Linked DNA regions of Xenopus tropicalis. The protein of the gene in region 3 binds, or shares a complex with, the protein of the main gene of each other region. Links are inferred from orthologs where the notes say so. Each region holds a gene or a part of one and is shown on either strand. Other genes may lie near its edges. The genes, in order: kcnip1, kcnip2 and kcnd2.

Region 1 (3,655 bases), about 37 Mb from region 3:
TTTGCGAACTTTGCGAACCCCATAGACTTCAATGAGAAGGCGAACTTTGAAACCTAGAAAAGCCATTTATGGCCAGAAAACTAATTTTAAAGTTGTTTAAAGGGTGCCACGACCTGGACAGTGGCATGCAGGAGGGGGATCAAGGGCAAAAATTTCTCTGAAAAATACGTTGTTGTAATCAGTAATCAGAAAATAAAAGCAGTCCTTACAAGGAATATTGGGTTACCGCAGATGAGATCAGAAGGACAGCTGCCCACAGCAGCTACATACAGAGCAGTAGAAAGTAGATTACTAGTCAGCAAAGCTACCTAAACTGTCCCTCAAACCCCTGCACAGCTCTCTCCCTATGCTAACTCATCAAGCACACACAGGCAGAATGTAAAATGGCTGCTGGGCTTCGGTTTATATATGGAAGGGAGTGGTCCGGGGGTGGTCCAGGAGGGAGAGCTGCCTGATTGGCTGCCATGTATCTGCTGGCTCTGGGGTGAGAGGTCAAAATTTGGCTCCAGCTAAGGCGAACCCAAAATTGCGAACATCGCTAAAAGTTTGCGAACTTGCGAACTTGCGAACACCCGATTTTCGTGCGAATTAGTTCTCCGGCGAACAGTTCGCTACATCTCTATTGAAGCGTTACAACCCTGCACTGTGTTACTGACATCAAGTTTACTTGATGCCAGTAACAAGGCTCTTTAATATACAGGTATGGGACCTGTTATCCAGAATGCTTGGGACATGGGTTTTTTTAAATAAGAGGTCTTTCAATAATAGTTTTATGGATAACGGGTTTCCGGATAACATATCCCATACCTGTATTTTATATGTAATAAAAGGTACTAAGTTTGCCCAGATGCAATAACCCATACAGGTAGAAGTTTCTGGTCACCAGCATCTTATTGGTTGCTATGGGTTACTACTACTTAGTGCCTTTTAATACATAACCCCCAAAGTTATGTTTTACTCTCACACTTGCTCCTGTTACAGTTAGTTGTTTTACTCTTTTGGTTCTTACTTAGGAAATGATGGATATAGTAAAAGCCATATATGATATGATGGGGAAGTACACCTACCCAGTCCTTAAAGAAGATGCTCCAAAACAACACGTAGAAGTATTTTTTCAGGTACAGTATATTGTTACAACTAATTTAATATCTACAAGTCCTTCTCCATCATGGATTTGGCTAACTTAGTCCAATTAAGGCCATACATGGTTGGCATATTTTTAAATCCCAGGTGCATGTGTTTACACCTATCAACACTGAATCTCATCTGCCACTTAACTGCCCTGTCTGCTGGCTTGTCCAGCTCTCCCTGTAAGGGAGATGTTACTAATAAGGCTTCCACGCTGACACAGTGCTTCTAGCCAGAATAGTCTTTGTGTCCACATACTATTTATTCCTATGGGATTTTTAGAAGTGTATTTATCAATGGATAACTTTCACCCATTGCTAAATACTCTTCTGAAAATCCCATAGGAATGAACAGAAAGTGGGCGAGTTTTTATGTATTAAGCTCTACACTCACATTTTGATAAACCTGCTCCTAAGTTTTGAAAAACTAAAACCAAATAATTTTGTTAATGGAAAGTGATAGAGGTTATGAATTATAAAAGTGTTATTTATTACTATACTCTTTATGCGTGTGTATTCTTACTAATGTTTTTAGCAGGAGATCTGTAATATTCACCGGCAGCATTTTATATTTCAGAAAATGGACAAAAACAAAGATGGCGTTGTAACATTAGATGAGTTCATTGAATCTTGCCAAGAGGTAATTTGTTTTGTTCCTAGTTAGGTACAGAATTGTGGAATTATCTGCATCACACTACAGTGCATATGTCTATGCTGGCACAGTGTTTACACTGTACTTCAGTACAATAAAGGAACCAAGTTCTGGAATTTAACATTTTGTAAAATGATCCACTTCTCTTAGACGTTTGTCAATTTCACACTGTAAATGTAGAATAATTGAACCCCACAATCCTTTAGAACAGGATCATACAAACACCAGACACAGAGTAGGGGCAAACAGACATCAATATTTGTACTGTAAATTAAGCCATACTGTATGTCTGATGTCATCTGTGACACCATCACTTATGTCATCTTTCATGTGACTTACGTGCAACCTTAACAGCACAGTTTGAGGTGTTTTGTAGCCTAATAAAAAGCTTTAAAGGAGCAGTTTAGTGTAAAAATGAAACTGGATAAAAGTGATAGACTGCGCAAAATAAAAAAATGTTAGTTAGTTAGCCAGTAATGGAATCTATAAGGGCTGGAGTGGATAAATGTCTAACATAATAGCCAGAACTCTACTTCCTGCTTTACAGCTCTCTAAGCTGTTAGCAGTCAGTAACCAATCAATGACTTGAGGGGGGGCCATATGGGACAAAACTGTTCAGTTAGTTTCCTTTTGAATCTGAACTAAATGCTCATAAACTAACTGAACAGTTATGTCCCATGTGCCCCCCCCCCCCCCCCAGTCACTGACTAACTAAGAGGCGCTAGAGAGCTGTAACCAGGAAGTAGAGTTCTGGCTATTGTGTTAGACATTTGCCCACTCCAGCCTTTATAGATTACATTTTTGCCTAACTATATAAGAAACATTTTTATTTTGCTCAGTCTATCCATTTTACCCAGTTTCATTTTAACACTGAACTGTTCCTTTAATTGTGCTTTAAAAAAATATGTGTGTGTTTGTGCACATTAACTGCAACAATAACTGTGCTGCACACTCAGAAGTTTGTTATTGGTGCAGAAATTATTGAAGGAAAAAACAACTTTCAGCTTGCCTTCCTCAGGGACAAACAAACATGGTTCCCAACCCTACAGGAACACACACACCCCATTCCCTTCTGTGCCGCGAAAGGTGCCATCAATAAGAGTTGAGAGGGAAACTACTATCCACTTTGCGGTGCTTGAAAAAAAAGCTCATAAACAAATAGAACTCATAAGCGTGAAATGTGTCAAGAAACACATATTATGAATAAATGATATAACAGTGTACAGAGCTAGAGAACAGTATTGTCTGGGGATTTACCTACAGTCCAAAAATAAAATGTTAGTAATGAAAAAACAGAGAAAAATAGAAAAAAGGCAATGAAAGATTAACTTCACCGTTGTGGGTGGCACGGTCCCCTAGACAGACCAACCCTCAGTCACATGATGTGTTGCAGAACACATTTATAAAATATGAGCATCAGGGTTCCATTAAGTCTAACATAGGCCACCCCTGGCCACACCAAGGACATGTCTCTGCCCGTTGTGCCAGTCCCACTGATAACAGCAGTATGATCTTCTCAATCATCTGATCAAAGAATGCCTGTGTTTTACCATACGGAACAATTCATGAACTTGGCTACACATTCTGTGTAATGTGACAGTTAGTTCGTAATCAGTTTAGCATTGTGAATTGGTCCCTAAGCTCAAGTAACTGACTGCTGCCCAGAACATGCATTGGGGCTGGTACAGAAGCCCAAATAATTAGATCCCGAGTGTGCAAAATATATATATATGCATATAGATCAACAGATATGAAATAGATATTAAAATAGATACAGTCAATGTTGCATTCCCAATTGTACCTCCAACTACCCCTTTCCACTACAGACTGCGCATTTGCTAATCTCGGAACAGATGGATACTCGGCTTCACCTTAG
Region 2 (3,655 bases), on a different chromosome or scaffold from region 3:
GAAGCCCCCCTGCTTGTGGGTGATTATCACAGGAAATTACTGTACAATAGCAGTCTAGAGCAAGGAAGAGTCTTATTTTATTTATGTTCCTTAATCCTTTCTTTCACTTCTTGTTTTGTCTGACCAACATATGCTTTACCACAAAGGCTTAAATAATTAAATAAATTGCATTCATAGTTTCACAAGTAGCATAAACTCTTTGACAAAATGACAAAACCTTTGGCGACTCAGTGGGCTTCTTAAATCTGCTGAACACAACATATTTCCAAGTGTCCTGCCTCTAGCGTAACTGAACAAGGGAAGGTCACTAAACAATTTGTCCAATGTCTTATCTTGTAGTACTATGGGTCAATATCATTTAATGATATTTTCCACTTTCCTGCTCTAGGTGCTATATTTTGATACAAACAGTATTCTGTTCTAGCTCCTCTTTCTTTTACAGGCTTTGTCTTTTCTCTTGTCTTACTGGTTTAACAACCTGTGTAATAAAATTGTAATCATACCCCTCCCTTATCATTAAACTTGGTTATCAAGTTGATAGCTGCTTTCTGATATGGTTGCTGTAGAGCAAACCCTTTTTGCCCTCCTTTGGAATTGCTCTCAAGATATGGGGTCAGTGAAAGCTATCTGGTGATAGGATGTTATTGCGGTCAGTAGGTTTACGGTATAATTCTGTACTGATACCATCTTTAAAAGATGAATATAGCACTGCCAATTCAAGGCACAGCTTATATATGTGGACGACCAAAGGTCTCTTTGTTTCTAAATGAAAGACATGTGCCAATTCATATGACATGGAAGGCAGGGTGCAAAATCTAAAATCCTGACTGTGTTTTGCACTTTGTACCCTGTCTCTGGTGTAAATGACCCTAAGGGCTCTGGTACATAGGGAGATTAGTCGCCCGCGGCAAAACTCCCTGCTCGCGAGCGACTAATCTCCTTGAGTTGCCTTCCCCCTGCGATTTGCGCGAAATCGCGCTGCCGCGTCTGCCATCCCGCCGGCGACTTACATGTTCGCCAGTGGGATGGCAGGGGGAAGGCAACTCGGGGAGATTAGTCGCCCGCGAGCAGGGAGTTTTGCCGCGGGCGACTAATCTCCCCGTGTACCAGAGCCCTAAAGGTCACCATACATGGGCTGATTCTAGCTGCTTATATCAGTCCCTTAGACCGATTTGGCAGCTAATCGGCCCGTGTATGGGCACTCCCGACGGACTGCCCGACTGATATCTGGCCTGAAATCGGCAAGTTAAAAAATCTAGTTGGAACCGACTTTGCCTATACCCGTCGTTATAATTCGATCGTTTGGCCCCAGGGCCAAATTAGCCTGGATTCTCCCAATATCGCCCACCCATAGGTGATGTTGCCAAGCGAGCGGATCTGAAGGTGGGCAAATCCCCAGCACTATCTAGTTGCTAGCCCTACAAATGGTAGCTCAGCCACCCCCAAAGAGACAATTCTGAAAGTAATTTCCACTGAGCAATTTTCAGTACTTTGTGTTCCATCTGTTTTATGTGACACTGCAGATAGATGCCAAAAGGTAACTCATTTCAAAATTACACAAAGTATCCATATTATCTATCTTAAGGGTTATTAAATTAGATTTCAGACAGCCCCCTAAAATAGATTTTGCCAATCCCAGATGCTATAAATGCCACATTCAGAATATACAGAAGGTGCTGTGCTTCATGTTTAATGACAGTGATTTGTATTCAGAGAGACTGTTCCAGTCTGGTTTGTGGGGTCAGGTTCATCCCCTGTAACCCCGTGTGTAGCATGGTTTTGCTTTTACACCCATTAACTGTAGCTTGAAAGATATAATGATATTTGGTGCCTATTACACATATAATGAATAATCAAATTACCTGCAAGCAGGCTGGTGATAAAAGGCAATACCCACCCGATTTATGAGCAGGATTTAGCTAATGGATTCAATTACCTATATAATTATTAATCTTATTATGTACAGGCAAACTGGTGATAACAGGGAATTTGTAACCTACTTAGAGGCAGGTTTTCTCTAATGGCTAAAATGACATTTATAATCACTAAACCAAATGCTGACAGTTATACTGACTCATATAAAAACTCCTAGTTTTGTGGTTATGTTTCATACAAAGAATTGTCCTTGTCACAACAGTTTTCCTTGCAGACATAAAGCCAATTGTAGTTAACACTCGATACACAAACACTAAACATTTCATATGCAGTATTCATATTTAACAATATATCTATGTTGATTAAAGATTAGGATCGGTCCTTAATCCCCACTTGTAACATTGTCAAGGGGTGTTTAACACTTCATGGAGCAGAATGACGGCCATATTTTTGAAAATTCTCCTATTGACCAGGACAGGAACTAGGGTTGTGTATAAGAGGCATATGCCTAGGGTGTAACTCTCTAACTCTGGCCCTGTGCTGACTTGCTGTTCATATACCTGTGGGGGGCAGGAAAGGCAGAACGATGAGGAATAAAGGATGAGAGAGAGAGTTGCTGAATGCTACTATGAGAATGAAGGGAACCTAAAGGGGGGAGATATATGGCTGCCAACTTTAGTGGTGCAGTTCAGGAGGGGGCTGGGTTCTTCTCAAACTTTTATTCTCCTTTAAAGAAGAAGGAAAGTTAAAATCACTGTGTGGTGCCAAATCGTAGGCACCCCCTGTGGGTAAGATCATTTGTCTGATACCCCAGGCTGGTGCTTCTATTAACAGAAAATCGCACCAGCCTGGGGTACCTGGAGATGGGCAATCCTCTTCCTTCCTTATCATTTTGCTGCGATCGCAGGGCCCATGCATGCACAGTAGAATCAAAAAGCCAATTTTTAAAGCTTTTCACTGTACTGCACATGTGCAGCCGGTGCTTAAGAAGAACTTTTGGCACCCCCAGTGGTTCCACCTTTCCTTCTCCTTTAAATACCAAAGTGCAGTTGGTCTGAATCACTGAACTATCCCAAAAACTGCATTATAAATAGGGTATGGTAGGGGCATTTCCTGATTCTCCTTTGCTTTCTATCTCAAATGATGTCTGTCTGCTTTGCGTTATGTTCTAGATTCCAGCATGTACGCTCATTTTCTCTTCAACGCATTTGACACTGACCACAGCGGCTCTGTCAGTTTTGAGGTATGTGCCTTTTGTTCCGTGAGTAAAAGAACTGCAACTTTTCTATTTTAAATGTGTGTCAATGCTTGGAGGACAAGTTCTAAAAAGACTGTGCAAATCCCATGTGGGGAGTGAAAGGGCTTTCTAATTAGACTCAGTCGCCAAATGATTCTCGTAACTGTAGAAGAATTCTATTATTGGTATTCCCTAGAAAGCCAGCACTCCATTTACTTGACTCTCTCTCAGAAAAAAATGTGCTCTGGTTGTCATAATGTCTAAAAAAGAAAGGCGTATCTTTTAGAAAAGCTCTTCATTTCGTTTAAGAGAAACGCTCTGTCAGAACCTATTGTTCCTAATACATCAAACATCTGATTATAAAGGAGTTGAATACATTATACTGCTTAATGGATCATATGTTTATTACTTTGTTCTCCTATATATCACTGTTCTGTTTTCTTTCCTACAGGATTTTGTAGCGGGGTTATCGGTGATCTTACGGGGGACTATAGATGACAAGCTCAACTGGGCCTTCAATTTGTATGACTTGAACAAAGATGG
Region 3 (3,655 bases):
AAAAGAAACTCAATTTAAATCAAGTAAATATTAAATGGTATAATAGAAAATTATATATATTTAGCTTTTTTATTTGAATGTAATATCTATATATATATATATAACATCTAAAGGCCAAAGGAGAAAATATTGGATAGAATAAATACTAAGATAATTTCTCTCTGAAGTACAGTATTTATAGTACAGTTTCAGGGGATAAATGAATACAATGCCTTCCCTTAATTGTTGCTCATAAATATTTTGGTTAAATTAGATGGAACTGTATATACTCTAGCATAGAGAAATGGCTTCACAGTGTATTTGGCATAGGACATTGCATTTCCGCTTATCATCATTTAAAACATGTTATCTATATATTTTTTTAATGATAGAGTACTGTACTTTGTTTTGGGATTTGGCCTTTTAATGGCAGAAATCAATAAAGCCACCATTTGGCCATATTTTGCACAATGAGCACATTTTTAGATGGTGTTAATAATGTAACCTTTTATAAAACCAGCTCTTGGTTGAAGTCTAATAAGCTTTACAACTTCATGGGGCTCTCCTTGGCTGCCCCTTTATCCACAAGAAAGGTTTAAAATGTGTTACACATATGAGTGTCCAATGTAAATGTTGAATTTTATCTATACACCATCTAAATCTGTGATCCAGGAGAAAATAGATGCAAGTCATAAGAACCCATTCATCAAGCTTTCTCCTACTGCTTTCTGCTCTGTTGGTCCTATGCTTTTCATACATTTTGTTCTTTTGTTTCTTAATATTCAGAGACAGTTTAAATTATCTTCATTTCACAATTGTTTAGAAATGTGAATTCTGACACAACCTGCACTACAAAACAATACAGATGAAGGAAAACATTTTTACAAGCATCCAGGACAAAAAAACAGTCGTTCTTCATGCATATTCAAATAACACAAAAAAGGGACTCAAAGTGGAAATCTTTCATTTTCAAATGTCATTAAGCTAATATAGCTGTCACCTTCTCAAAGTGATAATCCTTTAATGAACACAAAAAAAAAGAAAACCATGCCCTCACCAAAAGTAAATAGATCGGCCAATTGTTGTAAGTGTTGAAAAGCACTTATCTATACTCAATGTTGAATTTTCGAAATAAATTTTTGGATTCCTGATGTTGCAAATGGACAATTCATTATTGCAGTTGTTACTGAAACAACAACAGAAATTTAATAAATCCATATTCCTGTACAGCGGCTAACTCTGCCGTAATACCTTAATAAATCCTGTTTAGTTTCCAAAACAGTTCTGTTTGTTTTTGTTTAGCGACTGTAAACATTTTTCATCCTGTTGTTAGGAGAGCGCTGAAAGGGTCTTTTCACATAAAACAGTGTTTGGTGGAAACAGCTTCAATTATCTCAGATCTCTGCTCCGAAGGATGTTTGCATGCATTACAGATGTCATTTAAATAAGTACAAATAGGTTTGCTGCGCATGTATTCTTATACACATTACTTTATGCAAAGTTCATTGTTCCCTCTGGGGAAAAATGTTATCAAAATGTTTCCATTTCTGTAATGCTTTTTTTTTTCTCCCTAATACTCTCAGCGAGGGTGTTACGGTTTCATTTTTCATATAAAAATGTTGCATCTGAGAAAAAGCATCAATGGGGAACATTCATTGTGCTTATGTACTTAGTCACAGAGTTGTGGGTGCACTGGGAGATCTTGCATTGTCCCTGTACATTGTTTAGACCTGTTATTTTTTTAACGATTATGCAAATAAACTGCTGCTTGAAAAATCTTTTCCTTTGGAGCGGATTGTGGGGCTCATGTTGCATTTAATACAAAATCCTTCTGGTATGAAGTTTATAGAGCAGACACTCTTACAATGTTCCTTTGTGAGTAATCAGGGGATTCTGATCTGCCATCTTCCTCTGGTGTAGTCATTGGTGGTGTTGGGATGCTTATTACTGCTGTAGTCACATAAGGCTGCTCACAGTTTAACTTAACATTTCCTTCCACTTTTGCATTCAAGCTGGATCGGCTGGCACAAAGAGATAAGAGCATAGAAAAGTTAGACACCAATGCTCTGGATACTGCCAGACATTTAATTCAATATTGTGCTAATACATACATCTGGTAAACAAACCTTCTTTCATACATGTTAGAGAAGAGGTTGTCTCACATAGACTTTACTTTAATAAAATAAATCAAAATTGTAAAACATATATCCTTTTTCTCTGTAATAATGTAATAACAGTACCTTGTATTTGATACCAACTAAGATATAATTAATCCTTATTGCAGGCAAAACATTAAAATAAATAAATATTAAACTTTAAATAAACCGAATAGGTTTATTTTGCCTTCGATGAGATTTAATTCGATTTTAGTTTGAATCAAGTGCTAGGTACTGTTTTTAGGTACTGTTATTATTTCAGAGAAAAAAGGAAATCATTTCTGAAAATTGGAAAATAAACTGAGTCTATGGGAAATGTCCTTCCTGTAATTCGGAACTTTCTGGGTATTAATAATTAGTATCAATATTATTCTTTGTTTAATGAGCTACGGTTGTGGAAGTCCACAGAATCAATAGCATAGTCTTGTGCTGAAATAGCAGGGGGAGTTAAAACACAGGATCCCAGCTACCTTAACATATGCCAACGTGCATGATATACAAGTCTGGGAAGAGAAGCCAATAATGTAGAGCACATATTAACTGACTTTTCAAACTCAAACAAATTACAGGATTCAGGAAACAGTGAACATTTTAGCTTGCTTGGTGGGCCTGCAGTAATTCAGATTTGTGGGGTTTATTGGTTTATGAAATCTATTGTTAGGTTCAGCCTATTCTTTCTTTAATTCAACCACAATACACATTATTAAAGAAGGTTCCTGACCTGAGAGGAGACTTGACAAGTACGCAGTAGTGTATAAAAAGTCCATAAAATGAAAAATCCAAATTTGTAAAACTATATACGAGTATATCGACTGAGTATACCATAGAAAGCAGAAGACTTAAAGCATAATAACGCACAATGAAATCTAAGTGGATGTATGCAGTAAGCCATGGCTTACTTAGCTGGTATTCTCCCCAGCTATTAAAGGGGTGCTAACACATTCCTATCAATGATACATGCTACTCTTTCATGCAATCAACGCCCAGCCCAACATTACCCAAGGGTCTAACATTGCCTGACATCTTGCAAAGCAGAACACTTTGTCAGTAATGTGGTACTTTCACAACCCTCCTATAAGCTGAGGTACAATAGTACATCTTACTTAAGTCTTTACAAAGCCTGTGTGCAAGCAGATCTGACTCTGGGTCAGTATGTCAGAATGTTAGTCCCAAAGGCAGTGCTGGGCCTGGTACTGGTAATTTTACAAAGGACTTTATTAGTGGGACACAATTTATATCACTGATAGGCCTGTGTCAGTATCACTTTAATATATCTCAAAGTATACTTAGAAATGGCACATGCACAAATAAATTCTGAATAGCATATAATTTTGTTCCTTGGTGGCAGAACATATGTATTTTCATTACTGCTCTTTTAAATTCATTTTTATAACAGATAACTCATTCAGCATTTTTCATCAGTCCTAAGGTCACTATTCATAATACCCATGTAGTCATTTATTTCCTTTTCCTCCACATACATTCACGCAGCTTTCTGCACTACATCTGGCATAAATGGC

Evidence for each region.
Region 1: the proteins of kcnd2 (region 3) and kcnip1 are in contact, whole or in part, in a cryo-EM structure (PDB 7E8E), measured with the Homo sapiens proteins. The link is inferred for Xenopus tropicalis from reciprocal best matches to the Homo sapiens genes KCND2 and KCNIP1. Residues at the interface, in NP_036413.1 of Homo sapiens: Ala2, Val5, Ala7, Trp8, Pro10, Phe11, Ala12, Arg13, Ala14, Ala15, Ala16, Ile17, Gly18, Trp19, Met20, Pro21, Val22, Ala23, Ser24, Gly25, Met27, Ala29, Pro30, Gln33, Arg35, Lys36, Arg37, Thr38, Gln39, Asp40; in NP_001030009.1 of Homo sapiens: Thr60, Arg62, Glu63, Val66, Leu67, Arg69, Gly70, Phe71, Asn73, Glu74, Phe85, Ile88, Tyr89, Gln91, Phe92, Tyr101, Leu105, Phe109, Phe122, Leu126, Leu129, Leu130, Lys137, Thr141, Leu144, Tyr145, Val162, Ile165, His185, Phe189.
Region 2: the proteins of kcnd2 (region 3) and kcnip2 are in contact, whole or in part, in a cryo-EM structure (PDB 7UKH), measured with the Homo sapiens proteins. The link is inferred for Xenopus tropicalis from reciprocal best matches to the Homo sapiens genes KCND2 and KCNIP2. Residues at the interface, in NP_036413.1 of Homo sapiens: Val5, Ala7, Trp8, Leu9, Pro10, Phe11, Ala12, Arg13, Ala14, Ala15, Ile17, Gly18, Trp19, Met20, Pro21, Val22, Ala23, Ser24, Gly25, Pro26, Met27, Pro28, Ala29, Pro30, Trp55, Asp57, Arg61, Arg100; in NP_775283.1 of Homo sapiens: Arg112, Gly113, Phe114, Asn116, Glu117, Cys118, Val123, Phe128, Ile131, Tyr132, Gln134, Phe135, Phe136, Tyr144, Leu148, Phe152, Phe165, Leu169, Ile172, Leu173, Arg180, Trp183, Ala184, Leu187, Tyr188, Met201, Met205, Ile208, Met211, His228.

The regions. Positions count from the first base shown.
Region 1 is NC_030679.2:32,024,333-32,027,987, reverse strand, and holds part of kcnip1 (Kv channel-interacting protein 1), read left to right. Parts: intron 1-1,013; coding exon 1,014-1,118; intron 1,119-1,704; coding exon 1,705-1,767; intron 1,768-3,655. UniProt on the Homo sapiens protein: Regulatory subunit of Kv4/D (Shal)-type voltage-gated rapidly inactivating A-type potassium channels. Regulates channel density, inactivation kinetics and rate of recovery from inactivation in a calcium-dependent and isoform-specific manner.
Region 2 is NC_030683.2:31,291,798-31,295,452, reverse strand, and holds part of kcnip2 (Kv channel-interacting protein 2), read left to right. Parts: intron 1-3,047; coding exon 3,048-3,118; intron 3,119-3,563; coding exon 3,564-3,655. UniProt on the Homo sapiens protein: Regulatory subunit of Kv4/D (Shal)-type voltage-gated rapidly inactivating A-type potassium channels. Modulates channel density, inactivation kinetics and rate of recovery from inactivation in a calcium-dependent and isoform-specific manner.
Region 3 is NC_030679.2:69,236,058-69,239,712, reverse strand, and holds part of kcnd2 (potassium voltage-gated channel subfamily D member 2), read right to left. Parts: intron 2,001-3,655; coding exon 1,823-2,000; 3' UTR 1-1,822. UniProt on the Homo sapiens protein: Voltage-gated potassium channel that mediates transmembrane potassium transport in excitable membranes, primarily in the brain. Mediates the major part of the dendritic A-type current I(SA) in brain neurons.